3 linked regions of the Callithrix jacchus genome follow. The protein of the gene in region 1 purifies or fractionates together with the protein of each later gene. This does not show direct contact. Links are inferred from orthologs where the notes say so. Each region holds a gene or a part of one and is shown on either strand. Other genes may lie near its edges.

What was found.
Region 2: the proteins of ERLIN2 (region 1) and RNF170 purify together in Homo sapiens (affinity purification with mass spectrometry; 4 studies listed by BioGRID and IntAct, counting the BioPlex papers as one, with this or other methods). This does not show direct contact. The link is inferred for Callithrix jacchus from reciprocal best matches to the Homo sapiens genes ERLIN2 and RNF170.
Region 3: the proteins of ERLIN2 (region 1) and UBC purify together in Homo sapiens (affinity purification with mass spectrometry; 3 studies listed by BioGRID). This does not show direct contact. The link is inferred for Callithrix jacchus from reciprocal best matches to the Homo sapiens genes ERLIN2 and UBC.

What each region holds. Positions count from the first base shown.
Region 1 is NC_133514.1:38,643,754-38,648,389, forward strand, and holds part of ERLIN2 (erlin-2), read left to right. Parts: exon of another isoform or gene 1-1,192; intron 1,193-2,669; coding exon 2,670-2,743; intron 2,744-2,902; coding exon 2,903-2,961; intron 2,962-3,506; coding exon 3,507-3,598; intron 3,599-4,428; coding exon 4,429-4,518; intron 4,519-4,636. UniProt on the Homo sapiens protein: Component of the ERLIN1/ERLIN2 complex which mediates the endoplasmic reticulum-associated degradation (ERAD) of inositol 1,4,5-trisphosphate receptors (IP3Rs) such as ITPR1.
Region 2 is NC_133514.1:44,622,397-44,626,464, forward strand, and holds the end of RNF170 (E3 ubiquitin-protein ligase RNF170), read right to left. Parts: coding exon 3,870-4,068; 3' UTR 909-3,869; downstream 1-908. UniProt on the Homo sapiens protein: E3 ubiquitin-protein ligase that plays an essential role in stimulus-induced inositol 1,4,5-trisphosphate receptor type 1 (ITPR1) ubiquitination and degradation via the endoplasmic reticulum-associated degradation (ERAD) pathway.
Region 3 is NC_133510.1:128,100,268-128,104,412, forward strand, and holds UBC (polyubiquitin-C), read right to left. Parts: upstream 2,981-4,145; 5' UTR 2,966-2,980; coding exon 1,136-2,965; 3' UTR 1,069-1,135; downstream 1-1,068.

The DNA of each region.
Region 1 (4,636 bases):
AAAGATTCAAACCACAGTCAATTCCAAGAACCCTTCTAAGAACAGAGACAGAGTCACTCAAACGATCTGATTTGCTATACCTAAATATAATTCATGCTGCTTTTCTCTATGATACACCATAATATTTTGTCCAAAAATCTTGAAACATGTTACTAACTTTGAAGAAAGACTAAAACCAGCCACTTTAGAGACTAGAGACACTCAAGCACTGATCTATTCATAAAGTTTCTACACAGCTGAAGAAGTTTGCACAAATAGACAAAAAATAGTACAGAAAACCTAAATACAGAAAAATTCAGAGAAAAAATCCATCTTTTAGAAAGCAGGTCAAATGGACTCAGTTAAAGACCTCACTGAATGTAGGAGAATCAATGGGAAACAATGTAAAGACTTCTGCTAGAACATTAATAGGAACCAGCCTATGTAATCAAGAAATTATTTTGCCTCCTGATCTAAATGCTTGCCTCCAGTCTAGGGCTCAGCAAAAGGCCTGGTTATTTGAACTGGTTGTCAATCAAGGTCCCCTTCATTTTCGCTTTCTTGGCTTCCAGTCCAGCCAGCTCTTGCAGTCGCATCTTGCTCATGCCTTTGCGCTCCAGCTGTTTTTCAATCACTTTGGCATTCTGTGCATAGGAGTCAGCAACTTCCCTAGCCTCAATCTCCTCTTCCTCTTCATCAATGGTAGACACAGTGACAGAAGTGAACTTGCCCATGTCTTTGGTCCATTTGGTCATCATCACCTTCTTAGGAGGCTCTTGTTTCTGAGTATATATGTTCGTTTTCCCAAAGGCCTGGCCAAACTTGACTACTGCTCCATCCACAATGAAGGTAACAGGAGCGTTATTCGGCTGGGATTGGTAGAAGAGCAGCAGTCCACACTTTGCACATTTCTTTCTGTGCTGTCGTTCAGTGCCTTCAGGTCTCCGCAGATACACAGTCTCCTGGTCTTCTGTGTTACAAAACTTACGGGCATGTTTGGCAGCATCAATCACACGGGACCGGTCCCGGGGCCTCATGGGCAGTTTCTCTAACTGACAGTCCAGCAGTAGGACCATCTGGCCGCACAAACAATAGTACACATGGAGGGGCTTCTCGCCATCATCATATTCCTCCCGGTTCCGAGTGTCAGAGCAGACTACTGACCGAGACACTACTTTCGGCATGGTTCCTAGGAGCCGCCCAAAAAAATTACGCATACAAGAGGGTCGCGCTGAAATGACGTCACGAGCGCGCCAGGCGTCTTTTCCCGGCGGCTACCTTAGTAATGTAACTAAATGGCCCTTATCCACATTTCCGTAACATATAAACATCAGTATTACTAAAACACCTTGCAAAGTATTCCACATTTTCCCAGTAAGCTACTAACCCAGGGCCACAGGTTTCCACCTTGACTGAGATATAATTTGGTCTGTTGAGTGACGTGTTAACTTATGGAGGACACGGGCCACTTTGGTTGATATGCTACTTAAAATATGAAATGTAATGTTTAGTTCTAGTTGTTATATTGGTTGACCCTTAGCAGGTGGAAGGTGCCGACTTTGGTGCTCACAGGCTTGTGACAGCACCTCCTATATGTAGAAACATTACTGTCCCTTGTTTACTGATAGTACTGTCTTAAAATCCTAACAAAGCCCAGCAATTAAACAAGCTTGTTATTTTGGCTACTAGCCAGTTTCCACGCGCCTCCGTTTTGGCATCAGTAAAAGGACAGAGACTTTCTCTTCCTCCGAGGCTCTTGTTTGGGCACGGGTGACCACAAAAGGACCACTTAAAGCAGATAGCAGCTGACAGTGAAGGAGAGATGCAGTGTACAAGTCCCAGTCTGGTTTCACTCGGTCTTTTTCTCTAAGCCCCTCCAGGATCCTACCGAGGATCTCATGGGCAGAGGCAGGAAGAGGATTCTAAAATCTGAGAAGCCCAGGCCAGAGAAGGCAGCTTTCGTGCTGCTGTTCTGAGACTGCAGCTGGAAAGGAAGGGAGAGGGGGTAGTCAGTTACAGCTATTCCTACATTTGTCTGTAAAACAACTCTTGTGAATTCCAGACAAAGAAATAAGGCCCAAAGCAAACAGCACATCAAAAGCCTGGGGTCACTTCCAGAACTGTAAATTTTAATTTTTCCCTTGTGTTGTTTGATGGAGTTCCTAATAGAAACAGTCTTCCTTGGGGGTCTCCTTGACATCAAAGTCTGTTTTTCTTTTAGAAACTTCTAAAATTACTAGATTTAATGTGCTCAGCTCTTTCCACAAAACCTAAATAGCCATTCCACCTTCCTTCGTTGTGGAAACTATGAATCTTCCTTCTCTTTTGCTGCTGTTGTCTAGGGAAAGGCTGCTGCCTCATGCAAGAAATGTTCTAGAATTGGTATCCTTTCTTTTTTTTTCAAGTTCATCCCTTGTAGGGCATGGTTAGTATTTTCAGCAACAAAGGTTGAGTTGTATCTTGAGGCACAGAAAGAGGATGCCCTGTCATTCGCTGTGTAGAGGGCTGTCTGTGCAGGCTACTCCAGAAGTTGGGCAGGGGGTCTTTAGACTTGTGGGCTTTGATAAGCACCCTCCCTTGGGAAGGTACATTCTTGAGCTGATGATTGAGTTTGTACTTTACCCTCATCATGCCCTCCCTCATTTAGAAAGTGTAACAACTCCTTTTCCTCTGTCTTTACTTTATTCCAGATCAGATTGATGAAAATCTCAAACTGGCTTTGCAACAGGACCTGACCTCCATGGCCCCTGGGCTGGTCATTCAAGTAAGCATTGCTGCATGGGGGCAGCCCCTCTCTCTCTGACACTGCGGTCCTTCTCCCAAGGGATGTTCTTTTTGTGCAGGAAGATCAAGACAGTGGGAGCTGTGTGTGTCCCTCACTACCCTCACTTTCCCATCAGCTGCTGTTTTAATCTCTCTCCAGGCTGTGCGGGTGACAAAGCCCAACATACCTGAGGCAATCCGCAGAAACTACGAGTTGATGTGAGTATACCCTCCGCCTGGACTGTGACCACCACTGCCTCCCACCTCCCACCTCATCCCATCCCAGAGGTAACCGAAGCTGCCTGGCTTCTCGGTTATCCCCTTGCTAGAGGATTTGCCACAGCCCACTGCACTGTAAGATTGGACAGATGTGTCAGGGCCATGACTGGGGCTCCCTACCTGTGATTAAGAACCCCAGGAGAAGCCCTATAAAGCAATAATGCTTTGAAAAGGGCCAGGGGGCCTTGTTTGTATTCAGTGACTCATGCCTAAGGGGAAGACAGAAGCAAGAGACCAGTAAGTGGACAGGCAGGTGTATTTTACTAAAGTAAATTACATTTTATTTCCCACAAATGAGTTATTTGGGAGAAGAGCTGTGTTACTGTCGGCAACAGATCAGCTTTTACCTAGGCCATGGAACAGCCTTCCAGGAGGAGTAGGAAATAGGAGTTTGCCTCTCTTCAGTAGAAGAGTTCAGCTTCTTCTGGGGACAATGATGTTCCTGAGTTTCTCATAGCAGCCTCACAGCTTTGTTTCCTCTTCAGGGAAAGTGAGAAGACAAAGCTGCTCATTGCAGCCCAGAAGCAGAAGGTGGTGGAGAAGGAAGCAGAGACAGAGCGGAAGAAGGCACTCATTGGTCTGAATGTGGTTCTGTGATCCCCCTTTCCAGGCAGAAGGGCCGGGGGTGGTGGGAAGATGCAAGGAGGCTGAGGCCTGCTGAGACCCCATGGTCCTCCAAATCACTTCCACAGCACAGGAATGGCAGGTGGACTCCCAGAAGCAAAGTTGAAATTGTCAGATCATGGCCAACGGGAATGAGTTTTGAGATTCCACTTACCTCTTAAATGAAAGGAGCCCTGCCTATTAATTCTTAACTCATAATAATAATGGCTAATACTTAATTGAGCCACATATTTTCCTAAGCACTTAATACGTGGGTTAACTCAACTGTCACAACCACTTTGTGGGGTAGGTACTGTATTATCCTTAATCTTATTTTATCGAACCAAAGGACAGAAGGGTAAAATACTGTGCCCAAGGGCATATGGCAATAAGGGATGGAACTGGGGCTCCAACCAAGGACACTTGCTCTAGAAGCTATGTTCTTAGTCACCGCACCGTATTATCAACAACAAACCTGATCCCTGTGTGCACTGAAGGGCCAGGTAGACCCCTACTAGAGTACTGCATTCTTTAGAATATTCCTTTGGGAGAAGTTCCCTTGTGAAGTTAGGGCTCATTCTTCCTATGTTGGGCCCAGGTCTCCTTGGTTACTGCCTTGTGCTGATGGAAGGGGACTCTGCTCACTGGCACATCCCACTCTGCCCGTGTGTGCCCTCACCGCCATCCTCTGGGGGCTTTTCAGCCGAGCTGACCCACCAGGACACTCAGCTTGGGGGAAAGGTGAAATCAGTCAAACTCTGAAATGCCAGAACTCTAAGTCTTTCCTCACTGTCATTTTTTCAGAGGCAGAAAAAGTGGCACAGGTGGCTGAGATCACCTACGGGCAGAAGGTGATGGAGAAGGAGACTGAGAAGAAGATTTCAGAAATTGAAGGTAAGCAGAAGCAACGCTTATGCCTGCGTTCTGAGACCCCGCCCTGTGGCCCGTGGGTGGGGGAGCTGTTGCCTTTGCCCTTTAACAGTGCTCTAGGATGGCATGATCTCTGTGCAAC
Region 2 (4,068 bases), about 6.0 Mb from region 1:
TCCAGCCAATTTATTTATTTTTTTGAGATGGAGTCTCACTCTGTCACCCAGGCTGGAGTGCAATGGCATGGTCTTGGCTGACTGCAACCTCTGCCTCCCGGGTTCAAGCGATTCTCCTGCCTCAGCCTCTGGAGTAGCTGGGACTACTGACACGTGTCACCATGCTCAGCTATTTTTTTGTATTTTAGTAGAGACGGGGTTTTTCTATGTTGGTGGCTGGTCTCAAACTCCTGACCTCGTGATCCGCCCATCTTGGCATCCCAAAGTGTTGGGATTACAGGCGTGAGCCACTGTGCCTGGCTGAATTACATATAATTTAAAACAATTTGTTGCATCGAATTGAATGTTGAATTTTTCTTTGTAAAACATCTCCATGACTAAATTTTCACTGCAGTCTGCCAATTAATTTATTTTCTTAATAGAAAAATAATTTTCAATGCTGGGCATGGCGGCTCACACCTGTAATCCCAGCACTTTGGAAGGCTGAGCCCAGGAGTTTGAGACTAGCCTGGACAACACAGCCAGACCATGTATCTACAAACTTTTTTTTTTTTATTAGCCAGGTGTGGTGGCACACACCTATAGTCCCAGCTACTTGGGAGGCTGAGGCCGGAGGATCACTTGAGCCCAGGAATTTGAGACTGCAGTGAGCTATGATTGTGCCACTGTACTCCAGCCTGGGCAACAGAGTGAGACTCCATCTGTCTCACTCCAACCCTGTCTCTGACCAACCAACCAACCAACAAACAAACAAACAAAAAAACCTAACAAAATTAATTAGAAATATGATGAGATATTAGATGTCCATTAATGATAACCAAAGCTATTGCAACCATTATACCAAATGCTCTTTCAGGAGTTCTGAAAGTAAACAAATGTTAAAGAAACAGAAAAATAACACCTTTAAATTTTTTAAGATATGTTGCTTTTATTCCAAAGAATAAAATGCTTGACAAACTCTTTAATCACAAGGATTGAACCAAACTACGTCTTCTACAACTCTGTGAGGTAGGTATCTGCACAGCCACAAGGGATCCACACGGTCCTTTCTTCCCTTTGAAACACTGAGAATTGTAGCAGTTGAAACCACTGTTCTAGTGGGCAGTTAGAACAGTTGTTTCCCTCATCTGGTTCCCCACAGAGCTGCCCAAGTTATTATTTGCTCCTGAGGTTGGACCATCTGTTTTATGACAGTTATGATATTGTTAAAAATCCGAATTGTTACTTTGATTTATATGATTTAACTCTGAATCACCTAAGTATTACTATGGTGTTCAAAACACTGATTGACTCTACTTGCTTTAAGAAGTCTCGGATCCCTTCTGAATTTATTATCAGAGATCAATAAAGATGACAATAAGCAGGTCTAAATTTCTGAGATGCTAGCATTTACCCTTTTCACAATTTAACAAGATTTAAGATCATTTAGTATTTTTTTATGTTATAAAATTTGGTACAATACACCTCTTTCAGGAAAGTCTTAGTAGTAACTCCAAATATTATAATTATTGTAACCAGAAATGTGACACTTGGAGCAGAACACATGCACACAAAATAAAATCCTGTCAAAAAATGACATCACCATCCCCCCACACCAAATGTATAATTGGTAGGAAATGCATTTCCAGTCTGGTACATGGCAGTTTGACAAACTCCTACTCATTTGCTTTTCAAGTTGGTGATTGCAGCTGATATGTTTTTCTGTGATGCATGCCACCCTGTTAGCTATTTGATTTGGAAGCGTAGAGTTAGGATTCATGCAGTCTTCAGGTGTCACCTCTACAAACCTTTCCTCTTACAAGTGCTTAAGCTGTCTTACTCTGATGGAAGTAATAAGGTAGCATGAAAGACTTCTAGAGAACCAGTTTCTCTCTTGCCGTTCCTCTTAACCTTCATGTCTATCTGAACATTCTGTGCAGGAGCCCTTCTAAGACATTTTGATTTAATGCCACTTGGATCAGTTATTTGTTGTGTGACTTCATTCAAAAACACTTTAATTGAAAGGGAAGGTAGTGCCCTGCATTCCTCACAAAATTGTCCAAAGGATAAAATGAAAAACGTGAGAAACTGCTTTAATTATAATGTGCTATGTTTAAGCATTATTGTCTTTCTCTATGACAAACAACAGCTCTGTCCTAGGTCCAAATTAGAAAAACACATATTGATATTTCATTCAGAATCTCATTAGTTGGTAGTTGATCTGATTTAACTAGAGAGAATGTGACAGATTTTGTCCTTGGCCCAGTCTGCATATAATTAGTCTCACTAATAAATTAATGGATTATTAATAGCAGTGATCTCAGATGACAATGCTAACATAGACTCCTGGGCATCCCTTCACATCCTGCCATCATACATTCACTAATGAGCAATGCCAGCCAAAGTGAGTCAGATCTCTCAATACTGTGTGGTATGGAGTCTTAAAATACATTCACTTGTTTGGCTCAAGACATGAATCTCTGCTGTGTGCTTCCATCTTGAGACAGTATTTTTTCTTTCTTTTTTTTTTGAGACGGAGTCTTGCTTTGTCTCCCAGGCTGGAGTGCAATGGTGCAATCTCGGCTCACTGCAACCTCTGCCTCCTGGTTGAAGGGATTCTCCTGCCTCAGCCTCCCTTGTAGATGGGATTACAGGCGCCTGCTACTGCACCCAGCTAATTTTTGTATTTTTTTACTAGAGATGGGGTTTTGCCATGTTGGCCAGCCTGGTCTTGAACTCCTGATCTCAAGTGATCCACCTGCCTCAGCCTCCCAAAGTGCTGGGGATTACAGGCGTGAGCCACCATGTTTATCCTTAAGACAGTATTATAAAAATTTCTGAAGGCGGGGAGGAAGGCAGCAGCAAATCACACTGCCACGTGTGTACCCATGCAACTATCTTGCATGTTCTTCACATGTATCCCAAAACCTAAAATGCAATTAAAAAAAAAGAAAAAAAATTTCTGACAACAGAAAACTAACCAAGTTTGTCGAATCTGTTGCTACAGTTAACCAGTAATTTCTGTTGTCAAATGTAAATACTGTTCCCTGTACCTTCCTATGGGCTTTGATGCCCAAAGACATGAAGATCCACGTTCTTCGGAAATGCATCAGGCTACTTTGTGTTTACAGCATCACCCAGGTTCCTAAAACAATCTCCCTTTATAAATTACTTTTATAGCTACTATTGAACTCTTGTTTAAATGTCGTAACTGTGAACATCAAGTGTGCTGACTGGAAATAAATGTTTTTCATCTTAATTCTATTGCTTAAAATGTGTTCTGTAAACTAGAATATGATACCGAAGTATGAAGTTCAAGTTTTTTCTTTCAGTTTCAGCTGATAACAAATAATTATACCAGAATGAAAAAGCAAAACTGCTCCAAATGCACAAAACTTAGCTAGCACTAAAAGAAATACTGAATTTTCCCCAATAGTGTATAATATTTTATTGTAACAAAAATATTTAGATGAATTTCACAGCTATATATTATCATATAGGTACCCGCTGAGAAGGATAAGGTAGATAAACTGTACATTTAACAACATTTTACTACACATCCAATTAATCTAAGTAATTTTGGGGAAAAAAAAAGATAAAAGGCTCCCTTTTTATGTAATTTCATATTTTTTCCAGACAACATAGAATCAAGATACAACTGTAGATAATTATAATTCTAAACTTAACATTAGAACCTGCAACATGTGAAAATTCCAGTTATATATTCCTAGGCATTTGTCAAATGATAATCAAATGTTTGTCTTATAGTGGTTTTATGTTTGTGAGATAATACTCCATTGCTTCATTGCTTTATACTGCCATGGGTCCTTCTGTTTGACGTTACACATTAGCTCAGATATCCTAGTAAACTTAGTTGTTTTTTTTTTTATTCATCTGGTTAGCCTTTGGGTTATCACTTCTCGATACATAATTGAGATGTAGATAAGCAATAAAAAGATGACAAAGAAATCATCTAGAAAGCCTAGAATTCCAAACAAGGCTTCAGGTACAAAATCTAGAGGGGATATAAGATAGAAAAAAGCTCCCATTAAACAAAGTATTATCCTGATGCGAAACATCCAGAAAAGG
Region 3 (4,145 bases), on another chromosome or scaffold:
ATGTATTCACAATGAAAACTCGATGGATTTGCGGATTTCTCAAATTTTAGTCCATTAGCCCTAAAACTAAAGCTAAAACTGATTTAAGCCACCTTCAGGTGCTTTACAATTGCTGGAGCCAACATGAAATTCTTCCGGAGATGTTGTTCATGAATCCCCTAAAACTTGGAGAGGAGGGACGCTCCTTGGGACAAACCTTCCAAGGCCTCTAATGAGCCTCTGGATGACCTCTGGGATGCCTACTGCCTGGTGTCCATCCCTTGTATTAAACCAGTTTCTCTGCAACTTCCACCTTTGGTGCTAGTCAACATGAACACCTTACTAGTACCGTCTGATTGGGTGAATGCTACTATACACTTGAGACAAACCAAGAAGTCAATTGCTTCACCTACTAGTTACATGCCTGTCCACCTTACTTGACAATTTCAGCAAAAAACTGCTTGAATAGCTTTTATTCTCTAAACACTAATTCTACACCATGACAACTATGCCTTTTTCCACCTGCAACGTCCTTTTAAAATCACTTGATCCCAGGACTGTGTGTGCAGCTCAACATACATTTACTAGGCCTATGTACTTCATTCTTTCACAGGGACCCTCTCATCACTCCCACCTTTTAATATTCCTTCTCCCTTCCTGTTACCTCACACACCCCCAACCAGTATTTTTAAGTAACTTGAAAAAGTATCTCCCAATAACCTGATTACGACAGTCTTGCTCTGTTCCCCCAGGTGGAAGTACCGTGCTGCGATCTCAAATCACTGCCAACCTCTGCCTCCTGGGTTCAAGGGATTCTCCTGCCTCAGCCTCCGGTGTAGCTGGGATTACAAGCACCTGCCACACCTTTTTGTATTTTCAGTAGAGCTGGGGTTTCACCATGTTGGCCAAGCTGGTCTTGAACCTGCGTTTTATTTGCACCCACTTTCTACAGTTCATATTGTAAATCTACCTCCCCCCATTCACTGACATTTCATGGTTACCACGGTAACATTTGCGGACTGGAAACCTTGATCCCCTTCACCCTATCTAATGCAAAAATACCTTAACTTAAAAAAAAACCCACACCAATTGGGAATGCAACAACTTTATTGAAAGAAAAGTGCAATGAGATTTGTTGAAACCTTAAAGGGGAAACTTAAACACCCCCCCTCAAGCGCAGGACCAAGTGCAGAGTGGACTCTTTCTGGATATTGTAATCAGAGAGGGTGCGCCCATCTTCCAGCTGCTTTCCGGCAAAGATCAACCTCTGCTGGTCAGGAGGGATGCCTTCCTTGTCTTGGATCTTTGCCTTGACGTTCTCAATGGTGTCACTGGGCTCGACCTCAAGGGTGATGGTCTTACCGGTCAGGGTCTTCACGAAGATCTGCATGCCACCTCGGAGACGGAGAACGAGATGAAGGGTAGACTCTTTCTGGATGTTGTAGTCAGACAGGGTGCGCCCATCTTCCAGCTGCTTTCCGGCAAAGATCAACCTCTGCTGGTCAGGAGGGATTCCCTCCTTGTCCTGGATCTTTGCCTTGACGTTCTCAATGGTGTCACTGGGCTCGACCTCAAGGGTGATGGTCTTACCAGTCAGGGTCTTCACGAAGATCTGCATGCCACCTCTGAGACGGAGGACAAGGTGCAGAGTGGACTCTTTCTGGATGTTGTAGTCAGACAGGGTGCGCCCATCTTCCAGCTGCTTTCCGGCAAAGATCAACCTCTGCTGGTCAGGAGGGATACCTTCCTTGTCTTGGATCTTGGCCTTGACGTTCTCAATGGTGTCACTGGGCTCGACCTCAAGGGTGATGGTCTTACCAGTCAGGGTCTTCACGAAGATCTGCATGCCACCTCGGAGACGGAGAACGAGGTGAAGGGTGGACTCCTTCTGGATATTGTAATCAGACAGGGTGCGCCCATCTTCCAGCTGCTTTCCAGCAAAGATCAACCTCTGCTGGTCAGGAGGGATACCCTCCTTGTCTTGGATCTTGGCCTTGACATTCTCGATGGTGTCACTGGGCTCGACCTCAAGGGTGATGGTCTTACCAGTCAGGGTCTTCACGAAGATCTGCATGCCACCTCTGAGACGGAGGACGAGGTGCAGAGTGGACTCTTTCTGAATGTTGTAGTCAGACAGGGTGCGCCCATCTTCCAGCTGCTTTCCGGCAAAGATCAACCTCTGCTGGTCAGGAGGGATGCCCTCCTTGTCCTGGATCTTGGCCTTGACGTTCTCGATGGTGTCACTGGGCTCGACTTCAAGGGTGATGGTCTTGCCGGTCAGGGTCTTCACGAAGATCTGCATGCCACCTCGGAGACGGAGGACGAGATGAAGGGTAGACTCTTTCTGGATGTTGTAGTCAGACAGGGTGCGCCCATCTTCCAGCTGCTTTCCGGCAAAGATCAACCTCTGCTGGTCAGGAGGGATGCCTTCCTTGTCCTGGATCTTGGCCTTGACATTCTCAATGGTGTCACTGGGCTCGACCTCAAGGGTGATGGTCTTACCAGTCAGGGTCTTCACGAAGATCTGCATGCCACCTCGGAGACGGAGGACAAGGTGCAGAGTGGACTCCTTCTGGATATTGTAGTCAGACAGGGTGCGCCCATCTTCCAGCTGCTTTCCGGCAAAGATCAACCTCTGCTGGTCAGGAGGGATGCCTTCCTTGTCCTGGATCTTGGCCTTGACATTCTCAATGGTGTCACTGGGCTCGACCTCAAGGGTGATGGTCTTACCAGTCAGGGTCTTCACGAAGATCTGCATGCCACCTCGGAGACGGAGGACAAGGTGCAGAGTGGACTCCTTCTGGATATTGTAGTCAGACAGGGTGCGCCCATCTTCCAGCTGCTTTCCGGCAAAGATCAACCTCTGCTGGTCAGGAGGGATGCCTTCCTTGTCCTGGATCTTGGCCTTGACGTTCTCAATGGTGTCACTGGGCTCGACCTCAAGGGTGATGGTCTTGCCGGTCAGGGTCTTCACGAAGATCTGCATTGTCTGTTTTGACAAAAAGCCAAAAACCACCAGGATTTAGCAATTTATTAGCCTTCCTAATGCTGTAAGTTAAATGTCACATTGACCCAAACAATTAAAACTTGCGTTACTTCACAAAACACACTCACCAGCCTGTTTTCAAAACCCAGGCTTCAACTCCTTACAACCGTAGGTACACAAAACCGACCGAAGACACTGAAGCCTCGCTTACCCTTCCCTCTCGGGAGGTCTGGCGCCTGTCGATTCAGGAGGTCCTACCCTAGGCCCAACCCTGCGTCCTGCGACGGAGAAGAGCCCACCGCTCACCTCCCGGCAGGTGGCCCCGCCCCGCAATTATGAGCCGACAGAACGAGAACGGGTGACGTCACCACAGAGCGAAGGCGCGCTCTCCCCCCCCCACAGCGCGCCCCATTGCCGCGCGGCCACGCGGTAACCGCTACCCCCGCAACGGACAAGACGAGCTCTCCAGTCAATCACAAACTTCACGTCAGGGTCCCCCAATGGTGCCCCAGCCCATCCCACGAGAATCAGAGCTTTCCGGCATTAGCGAAGGCCTCCAAGCCTTGAGTCCATGCCCCCCAACCTTGTTTCAACGACCTCACGGCCCGCCTCACAGGCGTCTTCCACGCAGCGCTCGGAACAGCCGCCATTTTGCTGCGTTCTCCCCACCTCAAGCCCACCTTTCTAGCGGACACAGCCGACAGCCCTCCCCAGTCTCTAGACCCGGGGCGGCAACCCGCCTCCATCCCACCTCGCGGCCGTTCGGCCCCGAAAGCCCCAGCCCGCCCAGAACCCCACTGCTCACCAAGCGGCGATGACAGCAACGGACAAACCACGAACACAACTGCACTCCCGGCTGCGACGGAACTAGCTGCACCACGCCCGGAGCGTCCTTATATAGTCATCGGCGTACACCGCCCCGAGGAGATCCCTCCGCAGAACCGCCGAGAAGGGACTATTTTTCCCCGCCTGTTCCGCTCTCTGGAAAGAAAACCAGTTCCCTAGAGTCACCCAGGTCCCGTCCTAAAATGTCCTCCTGCTGAGACTGGGGTTCTGGGCCGAGTCTGGTGGGCAGCGGGCCGCCGTCCTGAGAGGCCGGGCGGAGGGATCAAGGCACTAGCTGCGCACTGCGATTGTGACGTAGCGGCGCTCGCCGTGGGGAGGGAGCCGCCCGCGGGAG